Linked DNA regions of Arabidopsis thaliana. The protein of the gene in region 2 interacts with the protein of the main gene of each other region in a pairwise test. Each region holds a gene or a part of one and is shown on either strand. Other genes may lie near its edges.

The links.
Region 1: the proteins of CFIM-25 (region 2) and AT1G49850 interact in a two-hybrid assay, tested with the Arabidopsis thaliana proteins (one large-scale study listed by BioGRID).
Region 3: the proteins of CFIM-25 (region 2) and SIP1 interact in a two-hybrid assay, tested with the Arabidopsis thaliana proteins (one large-scale study listed by BioGRID).

The regions. Positions count from the first base shown.
Region 1 is NC_003070.9:18,453,707-18,458,786, reverse strand, and holds AT1G49850 (RING/U-box superfamily protein), read left to right. Parts: upstream 1-2,167; 5' UTR 2,168-2,342; coding exon 2,343-2,555; intron 2,556-2,644; coding exon 2,645-2,838; intron 2,839-3,115; coding exon 3,116-3,461; 3' UTR 3,462-3,943; downstream 3,944-5,080. Other genes in the region: GSTF14 (glutathione S-transferase (class phi) 14), read right to left, coding at 1-77; AT1G49840 (glutamyl-tRNA (Gln) amidotransferase subunit A (DUF620)), read right to left, coding at 4,630-5,080. UniProt on the Arabidopsis thaliana protein: Probable E3 ubiquitin-protein ligase that may possess E3 ubiquitin ligase activity in vitro.
Region 2 is NC_003075.7:14,594,767-14,599,954, forward strand, and holds CFIM-25 (homolog of CFIM-25), read right to left. Parts: upstream 2,751-5,188; 5' UTR 2,552-2,750; coding exon 2,367-2,551; intron 2,276-2,366; coding exon 2,230-2,275; intron 2,130-2,229; coding exon 2,036-2,129; intron 1,946-2,035; coding exon 1,872-1,945; intron 1,784-1,871; coding exon 1,697-1,783; intron 1,597-1,696; coding exon 1,486-1,596; intron 1,353-1,485; coding exon 1,281-1,352; 3' UTR 914-1,280; downstream 1-913. Other genes in the region: MKK2 (MAP kinase kinase 2), read right to left, coding at 199-310, 399-475; VIP3 (Transducin/WD40 repeat-like superfamily protein), read left to right, coding at 2,962-3,300, 3,765-4,391; MTO2 (Pyridoxal-5'-phosphate-dependent enzyme family protein), read right to left, coding at 4,668-5,188. UniProt on the Arabidopsis thaliana protein: Component of the cleavage factor Im (CFIm) complex that plays a key role in pre-mRNA 3'-processing. Involved in association with CPSF6 or CPSF7 in pre-MRNA 3'-end poly(A) site cleavage and poly(A) addition.
Region 3 is NC_003070.9:20,834,119-20,840,817, reverse strand, and holds SIP1 (seed imbibition 1), read left to right. Parts: upstream 1-2,039; 5' UTR 2,040-2,110; coding exon 2,111-2,301; intron 2,302-2,404; coding exon 2,405-2,649; intron 2,650-2,734; coding exon 2,735-2,825; intron 2,826-2,916; coding exon 2,917-2,965; intron 2,966-3,056; coding exon 3,057-3,148; intron 3,149-3,223; coding exon 3,224-3,331; intron 3,332-3,417; coding exon 3,418-3,963; intron 3,964-4,054; coding exon 4,055-4,196; intron 4,197-4,262; coding exon 4,263-4,330; intron 4,331-4,426; coding exon 4,427-4,561; intron 4,562-4,634; coding exon 4,635-4,852; intron 4,853-4,931; coding exon 4,932-5,311; 3' UTR 5,312-5,562; downstream 5,563-6,699. Other genes in the region: AT1G55750 (BSD domain (BTF2-like transcription factors, Synapse-associated proteins and DOS2-like proteins)), read left to right, coding at 54-122, 283-369. UniProt on the Arabidopsis thaliana protein: Transglycosidase operating by a ping-pong reaction mechanism. Involved in the synthesis of raffinose, a major soluble carbohydrate in seeds, roots and tubers.

The sequences.
Region 1 (5,080 bases), on a different chromosome or scaffold from region 2:
TTCTCATTGATACAAAAGAGAGCTGCCGAATTACCCCAGATAAAGCCACAGTGGAGCTTCATCTTAGAATCAGCCATGTTGTTTTCTTTGTCTATTTACTAGATTAGTTATATTATTGGGTGATGAGTCCTATTGTGATCTCCGTATTTATAGTTGTGAAAAAGTATATGTAATAATCAATAACCTTTCGGCCTTCTAAGAGTTTTTTTTTTGGGTGTAAATGTTAAATGCCTTCTAAGAGTTGGTCATCGATCGATAAATGATAGTATAGTTTAGATTAAGTATTAAATACCTGTCAGACTCTCTAGAGTTTTAATAAAGGGTGAAACTAAGTCAATAACAACCAGAAATGAGTTAATTAACAAAGTGGCAATAAAAAAACGAATTAAAAGAGGGAAATTTTATCTAGAACCAACTTTTTATACTGCATCTACTAGTACATAGACTATTAGATTTGACATTTGAGTTAAGTAAACTAACTAATCAATAATTGCTCCATTTATAAAATTTTAGTGTTTCATAATTATAATGATCTCCCGCTTTCTTAGGAAACTCAGACAACCTCCAACGGTGATTCTAGATGAGCTCTAGAGAGGTGAGACCATCCTCAACGCCAGTATGCTATGAAAATTTATAAAAGGATAAAAATAATAATATTTTAATTTTACAGTTATATTTTAAATATTTTATATAGATAGACCAATAATAAAGATGAACGTGTCTTTGGGTTTGTGATATCGTCTCTTAGCTAAGAGTTTTTGGAATTTCTCATTCTCTCTCTTTTTTTAACTTTTAATTATTTTTATTTTTTTAATTGTTAAGAATTCTATTAAACAACTATCGTTAACGGTGGTCTGAAGCCCTTAGAAAAAAGCCAACATTTAAAGAAAAAATGTGATGAAGTGGATGGAACTCACTTTAGCTAAGAACATTTTTTGTTTGGAAAGAGGCCCATACCTATCATGTTTCATAGGTTCGGTAATGTGAGGAAAGAACATTAATTTTTTTTCCCGTGTATTTTTTTTCTCTTTTCTCTCGTAAAATCCGATGATGATTACGAATCGATCATCATCAACCGTCATCTAGATCATTAAGTAGAAGAAAACCAAAGAAGCTCGTCTCTTATCCGCCGTGATCATCATCATCTACACCGACGGTGCTCACATCTGCGAATTCGATGAACTAAATCGGAGAGTTTGTTTAACCAAATCGGAAATTTATGTGAAACTATGCTCCAATCGTTTGATAAAGGGTGAAAGCAACTAAATAACAACTAATAAATGAGTTAATTAACAAAGTGGCAATAAAAAAACAAAATTAAAAGAGGAAAATTTTATCTAGAACCAACTTGTATACTGCAACTAGTACATTAACAATTAGATTTGAGTTAAGCAACTAACTAATCAATAGTTTCTCCATTTATTCATTTTTTTTCGGGAAAAATGTTGTTTAATACACCAACTTTCAAAAAGTGGCCATTTAAACCATGAACTCCATATATGGCCAAATAAAACTTAGTAAAAGCGTTGACCGACCATTTTATACATCTCAAAACGTTGACCAGGCCAAAAATCCTGCGACGTTAGCAGTCGTTAACAGAGTCGATAACAGGCGTTAGCAGGCGTTAATTAATCCGTTTAAACACAAAAATCTTCAAACGAACAAAAATGGAGAGGCTTTTGAAGATTTTTGAATTTGGGAATTTTAGGGCATGAGAATTGGAATTGGGGATTTTAGGGATTGAGAATCGAATTGGGAATTTTGTTGGTTTCGATTAAACACAAAACGACGTCGTTTGTGTTTAAACGGATTAATTAACGTCTGCTAACGCCTATTATCGACTCTATTAACGACTGCTAACGTCGCAGGGTTTTTGGCCGGATCAATGTTTTGGAATATATAAAATGGCCGATCAACGCTTTTACTAAGTTTTATTTGGCCATATATGGAGTTCATAGTTTAAATGGCCACTTTTTGAAAGTTGGTATATTAAACAACATTTTTTCCCTTTTTTTCCGTCAATTTCTCCATTTATTCAGTTTAGTGTTTCATAATGCTCTCCCCGTTTTCTTGGGACCTATGTATTAGTGGACTTTACTTGGATAGGCCCAATAATTGGGCTTTTCCCCTTAGTTTTTTATTACAGCGACACCGTTTTTAAAGATGTTTTGTCTTAGCTCCGACAGCAAGTGGGAGATGACGTCACCTTTTCACTGCAGTTTCCCTTTACTTTTTCCTCGCAATTTTCTCTCTTCTCTCTCTCTGTCCTCCTTATCTCATCGTCTCTGACTCGCTGCACTTAGTTTCAGATCATATAAACGAATTTGGTGATTGATCGGTGCATGACGAGCGCATCGGAACTCTTCTCTACACGAAGATCACGTCCGGGTCGATCCGACCCGGCTTTAGAATCCGACACTTCTTCCTATCGACACCACTCACACCATCATCATCGCCGTCACGGCGTCCATCATCATAATCAGCGTCATGATTCCGACGGCTGTGATCCTCTCCGGCGACCCACTCCCCGTCTCCGACGCTTCTTTCACCATCCGGTTAGTTACTTTCCACCAAATTAGTAATTACTAATTTCAGTAGTTGTCTGAATTTGGTCCTTTTTACTAAAATCTCCCCTAATTTACAGATTCAGGAACGTAGTAGACCTATTCGTGATGTTCAAGGCACTAGTCAGTATTTAAATACGGATAGTACTGATACTGAAACTCAGAGTAGCAGCTTTGTTAACCTAAATGGATCCGAGAGGCTTCCTGGAGCTGTTCTGCTTGCAAGGGATAGACTTTTCGAAAGATTGAGAGGTGTTTCTTTGTCTAGTAACAGGTCTGTGCTTAACCCACTGATAAATTTTACAGCTTTACTTGATCTGCACTCTAGTCTGATTTTAGATTTCTTTAAAAATAATTGCTTTTGTCTGATCAAGATTCTTTGAAGCATGTTTTGATTTTGCTCTTGTTTCTTGTGAGGATTGGTCAAGACTTAGTGTAAAAATCAGTTTTTGTGGATTATTGTTGCTTTGTGTATTCTTTAATATCTTCTTTGAAGCCTCTTTTTCAAAATTTGGTTACGGATTTGTTTCAACTTTGTTTTTCTGATTCAGTCGAAGCAACAGAGTTTCATTGGATGATCAAAGGGAGTCTTCATTTCATTCTATAGATGGAGATCCAATTTTTCAACTAGCAGGGCTTCAAGTGACCTATGAATGCAACAAGAAACCACAAGGTCTTACTCAAGATGCTATTAACTGTTTACACCGGCAAACTTTTAGCTCAGCCGAGGTTAAATCCGAGATGAGAGATTGTAGCATATGTTTAGAGAGTTTCACTAAAGGTGACATGCTAATATCCTTACCCTGTACCCATAGTTTCCATTCTTCTTGCTTAAACCCTTGGCTTAGAGCTTGTGGAGATTGTCCTTGTTGCCGTAGAGCCATAGCAAAGGAATAGAAACTTGTAAATAGAATCTTTGCCTAACCATTAGGCCATAGCCATACACATCTTCTCTTCTTCTTGCTATAGACATCCTTAAAACGATCTTCTGAGTTTTGTCGCCCATGAGTGTTTTTTTTACTGTCACATGTTTGTAATGGTTTTTGTTGTGCCATTAGGCAGTTCAAGCGTTGATATCGTATGGTGTGAATCTTTTTAGTTTTATTCACTGTGATCTCTCTTTTAATGTCTTGTTGGTTATATGAAAGAGACTTTTTCCAAATCCAAATCTTGATCCGACAATTTGGTTATGCTTTGAGGTTATAGCTCAACAACTTAACGTTTTCATTTTCAGAAATTTTGATTGTCTCAATCTGGTGATACTACTTTAAAGCTTTGCTTCCTCTTCCAAAACGTTGTCATTATCATACATCCATGTACGTTACATATATTGAAGTCTAATATCAAAAGATTCAATCAATTTATAACAACTTTAAAAGAAAGTTATGCCAAAAAAAAGAGAACTTTAAAACAAAGTTAAGGCTAAAAGGAGAAGACAGTTGTGCACAAAAAGCTATTTTTTGCTACAAAAGCATATCAAAATGGACCCCTTTCTTCATAAATTCATGATCATCATCTTCAATTCCTTTCATAAAATCCCATTTATTTGCTCCTAACCATCACTTTCTCTATTGGGTACCTAACACACCTCACTCTCTAACCACTAAAATTAACAATACATACATTAAGAATGTCCTGCCTTTCTTTTTCTATCACATCAATTTCATGTCTTCGACAACATTAAAACCTATATGATTCAAATTCAACCAACTTAAAACGGTTTAGTTCAGTTTAAAATCAACGAAAGCTGAAGAAGATAAGAGAGCTTCACTTGCTAACAATTAACTTTCCATAGATTGAAATTTTGACTTGCTAGAAAAATATGAGACAAATTCAACATTTAAGCAGCAATTCTCCTTCTCTTGCTGCAAATAAATCCCATCACCTTACTCAATAATATTGAAGGCGACAAAGAAAATAAGAGAAATGAAACTTAAATAAACCAATCGTGTAATCAAACTCCTAATATTTGAGCTGTTAAACAAAGGGGTTAGTTAGTCTCATTTCAAGGCTCGAGTCTTGTTATTAGGATTACTATGCACAGATTGCATCTTCCCTACCATACTCAGACATCAATATGCCAAACAGGATCATTGTCGAAGCTTCCTTTCTCCAAGGCTGCAACTTTAGCTCTATGAGCTGTTGTTGAAGCCAACGCTAGTGAGCTCTTCCCTTTCTCCTCTTGACCCGAGTACTCGCAGGCTTCAGTTAACGAACCAGACCGAAGATCAGCGGGTGGGATAAAGCAATCTAGAGACAGACCAGGAACATTGAAAGCGACTTCTTCAATGGTCCATCTTTCCTCCATCTTTGTCCTAGTGTGGCTCATAGCAACTTCCCCAAATCTGAAGAGGGTAACAACAGAGCGTCCAGAGTGAGCAATCATGATCCCTTCCACCTGTTTGTAGTCGTCTAGAGACGAATTGATCGTGGTCTCCCAGTAAACAGCATCACCATCGTTAGATTGGATTCGAGTCAACTGCGAATCCTCAATTTGAGCTAGAAGTCCTGTTCTT
Region 2 (5,188 bases):
TAATCCCTGAGTTTCTCTATCCAGAACTACAGAAATGATCTTAAGAAGGTTCTAATTATGATCAGATCCACCAACCACATTACAGTTAATGCATTCAAACTCAACAAAATCTTCATATGCAGTACAAATAAACAATCAAACCTAACACTCGCGAAATTCAGTAAAATCAGCACCGAACGAGGAAGAGGAAAGACTTACGACTTCAGGCTCCAATTGAGAAATGATTCGAACTCCATCCTTGTTAACACGTAGATCTCCATCCTTAAACGTACCGCTTTGAGTCCTACAGAGAGAACCAAAACCTTTCCTCCTTCAAAAACAAAACCAGAGACATTTCCACACACAAATACATCTATCTATCCACAGATCCATGGAGAAAGAGAGATCGAGAAACATACAGGAATTTGGTGATGGATTGCTCGCCAGCAACAGGAATTGCGAGCTTGAGATTATTGCTGAATCCACCTTTCTTCATCGTCTTCGTCTACTTCGTTCTTCGCTTCTTCCTTTTTGTTGTTTCCTCGTCATTATATATTAAGTAAAACACAGTTTTAAGCATAATTCATGTACTTTTCAGCCAGAAATTGGAATTTGGAAATAAAACAGCCATTAATTAATATTAGTCAAGCACATGTTCACGACGTTGACCAACGACTTAGAGACTTTCCCATTTACTACTTCTTTTTCCCGGTTTTCTTTGACCGAAAAGTTTTAATCCACATTTTAACCGGAAACAAACCGGTTAATTCAGTGATTCTTCGTTCTTTAGCTTTTGGTTTTTAAACACTCCCAAAATCACCACTACAACAAAACGCTAACGCAGAATGCCAAACTAACGTTTGATATTTATAGAAAGTTTTCAATATTTCAAATATTGTTTGATCAAATACAATAAACACATATAACAAACAGTAAAATCTTTACTTATGTTTCTCGGTTTCATGTTTGAAGATAACAAGGTTTTCTTCAACAAGGAATATACAAATAAGCATACACCCCTATATTTGTTTTACTCATGTATACATTCAATTACACATCGAAATTATCACACAAAGAAAAATTGTTTCGAATTGATTAATCTATCTATCAGTATACTTCATGTCTAGTCTCTATAACCAACAAGAACATGCTATTCTTCAACATTGTCTATATATTATAAGCCCTATATACATTATATAGTCACAGACTCAGAGAGGCTCCACAAACGATTTCCCCAAACATAATCCTATCACAAATTGCGGGGGGCAAGAGCTACTAGAGGCAATGATCATGAGGTTCGTTCATATCTCCATCATGTTGAAGGAGAATTTCGAAAGAAGCTTAGGAATTTGCGACATGATCGGCCCATAAGTCTGCAACGCATAAATGAAACATCACAACACATAATTAAATACAGCTTGATTGACTGACCCTGTTAGTTTTACCAGGAACATCGATTAAAAGTTCACGATGAGTTAAGGGCAATGCAAGTAAGATAGTACATACCTTTTCATTTTCATGGAGTTGACACAATGGAACAGCGAGGAGTTTGAAGTTCTTAGGCACAACAAACTGTTGATGTACCGGTAATCTCACAAGAAAAAGCTTTGTGCATTCCTACACAAAAGATGAGGATAGAGCAGAGCTTTTAGTATAAGCGCAAATCTTCAAAAGTCTCAACTTTTTCTTACAATGAAAGTGAAACTAACTAACCAACCTTTGGGTGTTTAATATTAGGTGGCAAGAAAGGATACATCAATGTCTCAAAGTTGGGTCTCCACCACATCCCAATACATTCTCCTACCTACAACAATGTTGTAATTAGAGAGACCATTCTTAAGCCAGAAACAATCAGATACAAAAGCACTTTAACAAGAAGCCATAGTTCCTACCTCATAACCCGAAACACCCACATTTTCGTTAACCGATAGCTTTGATGCTAGTTTCCGTTTTAGACCTTCAATATCTAGAAGATTAAGGAGAAACATGACTTTAGCGTTTAGAATTGAGACAGCGATATTTATGCATAAAGATGCAAGGAAACAGCATACTAAACCTGATTCTCCAGGTCTCAAACGACCACCAGGAAGCTTGAAAATGGAGTTTCTATATTGAAGAAGCAAAACATGAGGATGCTTGAACAACTCAACCTGATGTGTCCCAACATTAGATTTTAATCAATCCTTTCAAACCAATTTTCCCTGTAAAACTTTTCAAAATCCCTAATTTGGCTACCAACTATAAAATTACCAGAAGAACAGCTTCAACGCAAGTTCTCAATCCATGAGCAGCATAACTTCAAAAGAAACAAAAAAGAAACTTTAGCTATAGATTAAAACAATAAGAAAAAAACCAGATGATCTAAATCACATCAAAACTCGATTTACTTGGATTTCAATCTGATGACTCGATCAGAGATAATCTCGTCCTTGACGCGAAGAGCTTCTTTTGAACCGAAGTAGTAGCTGCTAAGCGGGTATAAATCAACCATCAAGTCATGAACGACATCGTTTCGTCTCGTCGTGTTGTCACTGATCTCCTCCATATCTAACGCTCGAGCTTCTTCACCCATTTTCTGCCCGTAAAATTCAAAGACGAGAGCTAAAAGCGATCTCAATCGATTAAAATTAAATAACAGAGAGACCACGAGAGCAGAGAAGACGCAAGAAGAAGAGTGAAGAAAGGTGTCGTAGTCGGATCACTGAGACGTGGCGGCTCCAGAGAGTACTTCTCCGCAATTAGCTGACGACGGCGGGAGAGTGAGGAAGAAGATATTAATGGGCCTGTTACGATATTAATGGGCCTTTAGTAGTAAACAAGAATACGGAACGATGTTAAACACTCTATTGTTTCCAACTACTAAAAACGACGCGAGTTTCTATTTTATAACTAAAAAACGAGAATCAAAGTCTCTGTTTCAAATTTGGGTCTTTTGCTTCTTCTTGCTCACTTGAGGAAACACAGTAAAAACCTAAAAAGAGAATGAAACTCGCAGGTCTGAAATCGATCGAGAACGCTCACGAAGATTCCGTTTGGGCAGCGACGTGGGTTCCGGCGACGGAAGATCGACCGGCGTTGCTTCTGACTGGATCTCTTGACGAGACGGTGAAGTTATGGCGACCGGACGAGCTGGATCTTGTGCGGACTAATACTGGACACTCTTTGGGAGTAGCAGCTTTGGCTGCGCATCCTTCTGGGATTATTGCAGCATCTTCTTCGATTGATAGCTTTGTCCGTGTGTTTGATGTTGATACTAATGCTACGATTGCTGTTTTGGAAGCTCCTCCTTCTGAGGTTTGGGGAATGCAATTTGAACCTAAGGTAATTGACTCAATGAGATTGCCTCCAATTTTAGGGTTTTGAAGGATTTTGGGTTGTTTTGTGGTGAAAGAATTCGATTGCTTCATTGAATTTCACTTCTTAGTTGCGAGTAATGCTTCTCCTGATCTATATAACAATGCTTGGGTACTATATGGAATTGCTGAGTATCGTTTGAATCTGTAGCTCTGATCAGATAGGGTCATCTACTCTGCTCGGAAAATAGATCTAGATCATCTTCTGATTTTTCATTGAGTCTTATATAGTAGATTAAGAACAATTTATTGGTGCTTTGATGATAAATCTTGATTTGGTATGATAGAATTTTGACCTGGTGACTATCAAGTATCAGTGCAATGATCTCTCTTTTAGTTTGCAGTGGAGTTTTTATTTGCTTCTGAGCTTATAATTTCAACATTACTCTTTAGAATGGTGCTCTGCTAACATAGTATTTTACATGTTCCAAGGGTACGATCCTTGCTGTTGCAGGTGGAAGTAGTGCCTCAGTCAAGCTTTGGGACACTGCAAGCTGGAGATTAATCTCAACTCTATCAATCCCACGCCCAGATGCACCAAAACCTTCCGATAAAACCAGCAGCAAGAAATTCGTTCTCTCGGTGGCTTGGTCTCCTAATGGGAAACGACTTGCTTGTGGTTCAATGGATGGTACGATCTGTGTTTTTGATGTTGACCGCTCAAAGCTACTTCACCAGCTAGAAGGTCACAATATGCCTGTAAGGTCCCTTGTGTTCTCCCCTGTAGACCCGAGAGTCCTCTTCTCTGGATCAGATGATGGGCATGTGAACATGCACGATGCAGAAGGGAAAACGCTGTTGGGGTCCATGTCAGGGCACACGAGTTGGGTGCTGAGCGTTGATGCTAGCCCAGACGGTGGAGCCATAGCAACCGGCTCAAGCGATAGAACTGTGAGGCTATGGGATCTTAAAATGAGAGCTGCGATTCAGACAATGAGCAACCACAATGACCAGGTTTGGTCTGTGGCCTTTAGACCACCAGGTGGAACCGGTGTCCGGGCTGGTCGACTTGCTAGTGTCTCTGATGACAAGAGTGTATCGCTCTATGATTACTCATGAACAATTCGGTTTTTTGACTTTTTTCTTTTATGCATTCTCCAAGACGCATCTAGTTGTAACAATATAATCTGCAACAGGTTGATTTTGACCGGAGTCTTTAGATTTATCGCTTACACAAAAAACAAAGAAGATAAAATGATTCAAACTTTGCGATAGAACTTTATTGGAAAACTGAGAAACAGATAAAGATCACAGAGAGATGAGTTGAAGAGTAACGCAAACAAACGTCTAAAAGTTTTCAAAAAACAAAACAGCTAAAGATTATGGTCTTGTCTCTTATGACGTAAGTGTATTACTTCCTAAGTAACTCTTGAGAACATCCATGACAGCTCCGAAATCTGCTTTCACATCAACAGGAGGATTGGAGAATCTGCAAGCCATGTCAGGGATGGCATTGGAGTGATAATCTATCTTAGACTGAGTAAACTTCAACCCATGAGCAGTACTCACTACCACAGTTCGATCAGTCGGTGCAATCACTCCTTGATTCCTCAGCTTGAACAGAGCAGTTAGAGCAACACCTGTATGAGGACAGATAAACATTCCTGTCGAATCCGCTTGAGCCATCGCATCCATCAGCTCCTCCTCTGTGGCTTCTTCTACAATACCATTGCACTTCTTGAGAGCGTACACAGCTCTATCGATGGAGACAGGGTCACCGATCTGAATCGCAGAGGCGAAAGTGGTACTTGCAGTCATGGGCTTGAAGTCCTTCCAACCAGACTTGTAGTGCAAGTAAAGAGGATTAGCATTAGCTGCTTGTGCACAGACCATCCTCGGGATCCTATCGACAAGTC
Region 3 (6,699 bases), on a different chromosome or scaffold from region 2:
ATATATATGGTCAACTGTACGGTTTCCTTGATATTAAACTCCATGTAACTCAGGCAATGAAAGAGTCGGTGCAATCTGATCTCCGGCATCAGGTTTCTCTACTGGTTCGTCCAATGCAACAGGTTAGCTTCTTCCAATATCTACGGAAGAGTTTTATACTTTTATTACATCATGTCTCGGTTAAGTCTATATTTTCCACTCATATTGCATCTATATCCAGTTTCTACAGCCTTGCATTGTAATCCGGTTTGAAAATTGATCTTAATCGGTTTTCTCTGCTAGGCTCTTGACGCTGCGTTCCATCACTACGAAGTGGATCTGCAGAGAAGAACAGCTAAGAGCGGCGAAAGACCAAACGGCTACGTATAGAGGACAAAAAAACTAAAACTAAAAAGCTTTGCAAGATCTTTGAATTGTTTCATCAGCCTTGGTTGGTGTTTTTGAAAATCTTCATTTGTCCCTTTTTGTCCGACCATTGAGATACAAAAATGCGTTTATATTGTAGTAATATTTTCTTTTCTTTTTTTTGTTAATTAGGCGTTATATTGTTAACTGCGAGAGACAACAAAGAGATTTTCTCGATCTGAACATTTTTAAGTTTGCAATGTATTAGTAAATTCTCTACAGGCTTTGAGGACGTTACTACAGCTCCAAGAAAGCTCTCAGTGCCATAATTGTTTGGTTATTTGGTTACTGGTGAATATTTATAATAATGGGACAATAATAGAGAAAATGCTTCGATGGCGTAGTAGATTTCAATGTTTGAATCGCATCAAACAACAATCCAAATTAGAAATATATAAAATTCAACATAAAACTTTTTTTGACATAGCATTCATGGATAACTTTTGATTTGAATGATTAATTTACTCATTGTGAGGAAAAAAATAAAAACAGATAAAGTTACTCATTGCTTGTCATATTGACATGACATACAAAATTCAAGCTCCATAAGTAAAGCTATAAAGAAAAAGAAAAGGGGGACTCTCCACTTTTAGGTTTCATATAAACTCGTTAACTAGAGATTGGGTTTTGATTAAGCACGATATAATATATATGGCCGAAAAAGCCTTTTGGTTAGTTTACTTGGCTCACGTTTTCGTCTTCATATTTTCCTGTGGACTTGTCTTCTCCTTCTAGATAACTTGCATATTCTTCTCTTGACATATTCGATTTTGTTTTCTCCTCTAAACATTGGTGAGTTTAGGTTTTCTTTGTGTTGAAGTTACTTATTTCCAGACACAGCCACAGAGGTATCGATATTTACTTGGTTCATAAGTTGATCGATATTTACTTGGTTCATAAGTTGTTGCATTGGTAATAGATGTGTGACCTTTATTTGAGAACAAACCGTCCAATGGTCGTGCATATGGTGGGCCTTGTACCAGAGAGATCTGCGCCGCTCTATTAATGATCACTGACATACCACTAGTAGATCTTTTCGCATGCAAATATATTTTATATTATTTTCTTTGTTAAAAGATTTTTCCTAGTATTATCATATGAGTAATTAATGTTTGTCCTTTAGCTTTCACTATAAAAACGCATATTATTATCGATAGTAAACATCCCAAATGTTCGGTTCATAGCATTTTCGATTTTCATATTTGAAAGGTAGAGAATCTTTTATATTTAACAAATTACAACTTTACAAGCATTGTAGTGAGGTTATATTTATACATGGTGCATCAAATAGATATAGGAGGATTAGTTTGCGATTTCAATGATTAAACCCAAAAAAGAACGACAAGAATAAAGTAAACTTAAACATCATATTCGAAATGAATCATATCCGTCTATGAATAATTATGTCAACTATTCAGCATTTACAATCACGCCAAACAATTGACACGTTATTCTCTAATCATAATATTGGTTACAAGAAATAGAAATTCACCGAATTACCTTTCCAAATTTTGTTCAAATAAATGTACGTATCTTATTATACTAATTTTATTTTGCATTTTCGTGTCCGCTAGATATGAACACGTCATCGATAACGTTCTATAAATATCATTCCTCTTGTCCAACTAATTAACTCACTCTCGAGAGTAGCGTGAGTCTTGAGGTTTCATTATTATTTTTTTGTTTTCCCTACAAGGAAGTAACAATGACCGTTGGTGCCGGAATCAGCGTCACCGACTCAGATTTGGTGGTGCTAGGTCACCGTGTTCTTCACGGCGTTCCGGAGAATGTCTTAGTTACCCCAGCTTCGGGAAACGCCTTAATCGACGGCGCGTTCATCGGCGTCACGTCAGATCAAACCGGAAGCCACCGTGTCTTCTCCCTTGGCAAACTCGAGTACTGTTCAAAATCCCTTTCCTACACTTTTGTTGTTAGATGTCACATAATTTGTTGAATTACTTGAGGCTTAGGGTATAAATGTTTTTTTTTTCCTTGGCAGAGACCTAAGGTTTATGTGTGTCTTCCGGTTTAAATTATGGTGGATGACTCAAAGAATGGGGACTAATGGGAAAGAGATTCCTTGTGAGACTCAGTTTCTAATCGTAGAAGCAAACCAAGGTTCTGATTTAGGAGGAAGAGATCAATCTTCTTCGTACGTTGTATTCTTACCTATACTTGAAGGAGATTTTAGAGCTGTTCTTCAAGGGAACGAGGCTAATGAGCTAGAGATTTGTCTTGAAAGTGGTAAGTTGACACAGCTAGCTAGATTTGAGTTGAATTTTTTTTGTTAGATTCTCTCTGAGATTTATATGGTTTTTGTATGGTCAAGGTGATCCAACCGTTGACCAATTCGAAGGGAGTCATTTGGTTTTTGTGGCTGCTGGCTCCGACCCTTTTGATGTCATTACCAAAGCTGTCAAGTATGTAATGTTTCTCAAGTCTCAACTTAAGACTTCTTTATGTCCAAATTTTTTTAGGGTTAAGAATCTTTGCCTTTCAATGATTATGCAGGGCTGTTGAACAACATCTTCAAACATTTTCACACCGAGAGAGAAAGAAAGTAAGGAAACATTGAGACGTTTTATGTGATCTTTGATTATATACATACCAAAATTAACTCTGAAAATTTCCCCTGTTTTGGTTGTGTTCAGATGCCAGATATGTTGAATTGGTTTGGTTGGTGCACTTGGGATGCATTCTATACCAATGTCACAGCCAAAGACGTCAAGCAAGGACTTGAGAGGTTCTCCTGAGTCTTTACTTTTGAAGATGGCTTTAGTAACTGTGACTTAACCAAACCTGCACTGATTCTCTGTAGCCTCAAAGCTGGTGGGGTTACCCCAAAGTTTGTCATAATTGATGATGGATGGCAATCTGTTGGCATGGATGAGACCAGTGTAGAATTCAACGCTGATAATGCTGCCAAGTAAGTAATTAAGCTCTCTTAATTCTGATTTAAGTTCTTTCTTTAGTCTTAATAAACCACTCTTTATCTTTTGTGCTTACCTTCAGTTTTGCAAACCGGTTAACTCACATCAAGGAGAATCATAAGTTTCAAAAGGATGGCAAAGAAGGCCACCGGGTGGATGACCCTTCATTGAGTCTTGGACATGTTATCACAGACATTAAGAGTAATAATTCGCTCAAGTATGTTTATGTTTGGCATGCGATAACAGGATATTGGGGAGGAGTCAAACCAGGTGTTTCTGGTATGGAACACTACGAATCCAAGGTTGCGTATCCAGTTTCTTCACCAGGAGTTATGTCCAGTGAGAATTGTGGATGTTTAGAAAGCATAACTAAGAATGGACTTGGTTTGGTGAATCCTGAGAAAGTCTTTAGCTTCTATAATGATCTTCACTCATACCTTGCATCCGTTGGGGTCGATGGTGTCAAAGTAGACGTCCAAAACATTCTTGAAACTCTTGGAGCTGGACATGGTGGTCGTGTCAAACTTGCAAAGAAGTATCACCAGGCTTTGGAAGCTTCTATTTCAAGAAACTTCCCTGACAATGGTATTATCTCTTGCATGAGTCATAACACAGATGGTCTCTACAGGTTAGCTTCTGGACCTACAACGTTGTTCTCATTGATATTTATCCATAATTATTACTATCCCTTCTAATTTCTTCTTGTAATGATACTTTAGCGCAAAAAAGACTGCTGTTATAAGAGCATCAGACGATTTCTGGCCTAGAGACCCCGCTTCACACACGATCCACATTGCTTCTGTTGCATATAACACACTTTTCCTTGGAGAGTTTATGCAGCCGGACTGGGACATGTTTCATGTACGTTGAATTGCTTTAACAAACTTTTCTGAACTTGTGAATGAATCTATCTGTTTCTCATTGCAGAGTTTGCATCCGATGGCTGAATATCATGCTGCAGCTCGCGCGGTTGGAGGATGTGCCATATATGTCAGGTAATCACAAGATTCAATACCATTTGACAAACAAATTATCATAGTAAAATGAGCTGCAAGTAAGTAACTCTAGATCCATTCAAACTTGTTAAACAGCGACAAACCGGGACAACATGACTTCAACCTTTTAAGAAAGCTAGTACTTCGAGACGGTTCCATACTCAGAGCAAAGCTTCCCGGAAGACCAACCAGTGATTGCTTCTTCAGTGATCCAGTCAGAGACAATAAAAGGTATCTCGTTTTCCTTTACTTGGAAGAGAAGAAAGCTTAAATCTTAACTAACTGTTGTATTATACTTTGCAAGTCTTCTGAAAATATGGAACCTGAACGAATTCACTGGCGTTATTGGAGTTTTCAACTGCCAAGGCGCTGGATGGTGTAAGAACGAGAAGAGATACCTAATCCATGACCAAGAACCTGGGACCATTTCTGGTTGTGTCCGAACCAATGATGTTCATTATCTTCATAAAGTAGCAGCCTTTGAATGGACAGGAGATTCCATTGTCTATTCCCATCTCAGAGGTAGTACACAAACTCAAACATCAGTCTAAATTACTCTGATTATACTAAAACCTTCACTTTTTTTTTCCTTTTCTATCAGGAGAGTTAGTGTATCTCCCAAAAGATACATCTTTACCAGTGACATTGATGCCACGTGAATACGAAGTTTTCACGGTGGTTCCGGTGAAGGAATTTTCCGATGGAAGTAAATTTGCACCGGTGGGGCTTATGGAGATGTTTAATTCTGGAGGAGCCATTGTGAGTTTAAGATACGATGACGAGGGGACTAAATTTGTCGTTAGGATGAAACTTCGAGGCAGTGGTTTGGTTGGTGTTTACTCGTCCGTTCGACGACCACGAAGTGTTACGGTGGATTCAGACGACGTGGAGTACCGGTATGAACCGGAATCCGGTTTAGTTACGTTTACTTTAGGAGTTCCGGAGAAAGAATTGTATCTGTGGGACGTGGTCATCCAATAATTATTGATCTGTATAATTGTATCAGTTCTGTATTGATTTGTTGGTTAATCTGTATGGGTTATCGACCAGACCAATACAAATCAAACAGATTGGTCCGTGTTCGTTTTGATATAATAATACAAAAAAAAAATGTTTGTTGTATGGCTTAGCATGCATTAGTGTAATCATTTTCTTCCTTCTTATTTATCATCAACGGTGTAAAATCTGTAAAATGTTATGGTGCAAATTTAGTTGTCCACAAGAGAACAACCAGACGACTATGTAATCATATCTGTAGATAGTAGTAGACTAGTAGATCCGTGCATTTTTAGCAATACTTCCACTAATAAAACTCGCAAATTAAAGCATTCTTAATTACTCTGAAAATGACTTCTACACACACCCTAAATGTTTTTATAGAAAATTTGGTTTTGGTCTAATTATTTTGATTTGGTTCGGTCTAGTAATTGATCAGTTTATGATATTTTTTGAAAGGATTTTTTTTTTTTTTTGGTCGTCTTTTGAAAGGAAAATTTTAAGAAATTATAAACGATTTATTTAAGTCCAGAAACGAAAGGGATCGAATCAATGATAAAAAAATTGCCTTAACAAAAAAGTTTTAAAAAAATTGGGATTACTTGATGCGGTCGATAGTTAATTTATTCTGGACTATGGTAACACGTCATGTTTAGGACCACTATGTTTTAACTAAAAACTGATATTAAAATAAAATTTATCGACCGCAATTGCTCTTTTTTTTCTCCTATATTTAAATCTTCACAGTAATTCACAGTTCACATATATTTCAATATTCATTAGTCATAACATTAGAAAGTAACAATATTGAGTCCAAATATTTTTTAAAAATCGGAAATTAGATAAAGTTCCAATAGTCTTTTTTCTTTTCTAAGTCTAAATAAATTCAATTAACTAGTTTCATAAATTATTTGAAAGAAGAAAATAAAAAATCGAAACATGTCTTTAAAAATGAGTAGAAGAAGGAAAGTTCCTCTCGATCACGCACTTGTTTACTGACATCTCCCAAATTCTTTAGTATCATCTCTCAATAAAAAAGAACAGACCATTGGGATCACAAATCTCCGAAGAAGAAGAAGAAGATATCAAAGTGTTTATTTTTGTGGGATTTCTGCTGCAACTTGTTCAAGTCTTTCTTCTCTGACCATTGGTTGACTTCTTCTTAGGTACTAAAACTTTCGAATCTCTCTTCACCGTTTCGTTGATCCCTCCGATCATCTTTAGGTCTTCTATTTGATTCTTGGTAGTTTATATCTGGTTTTAGGGTTTTGATATTGGATGGAATTGGGTTTGTGTTTTTCAAATATCAAGTCATTTGATTGGGCTCTGATTTCATGGAAAGATTAAGCTTAGATTAACACATTTTCAGTTGA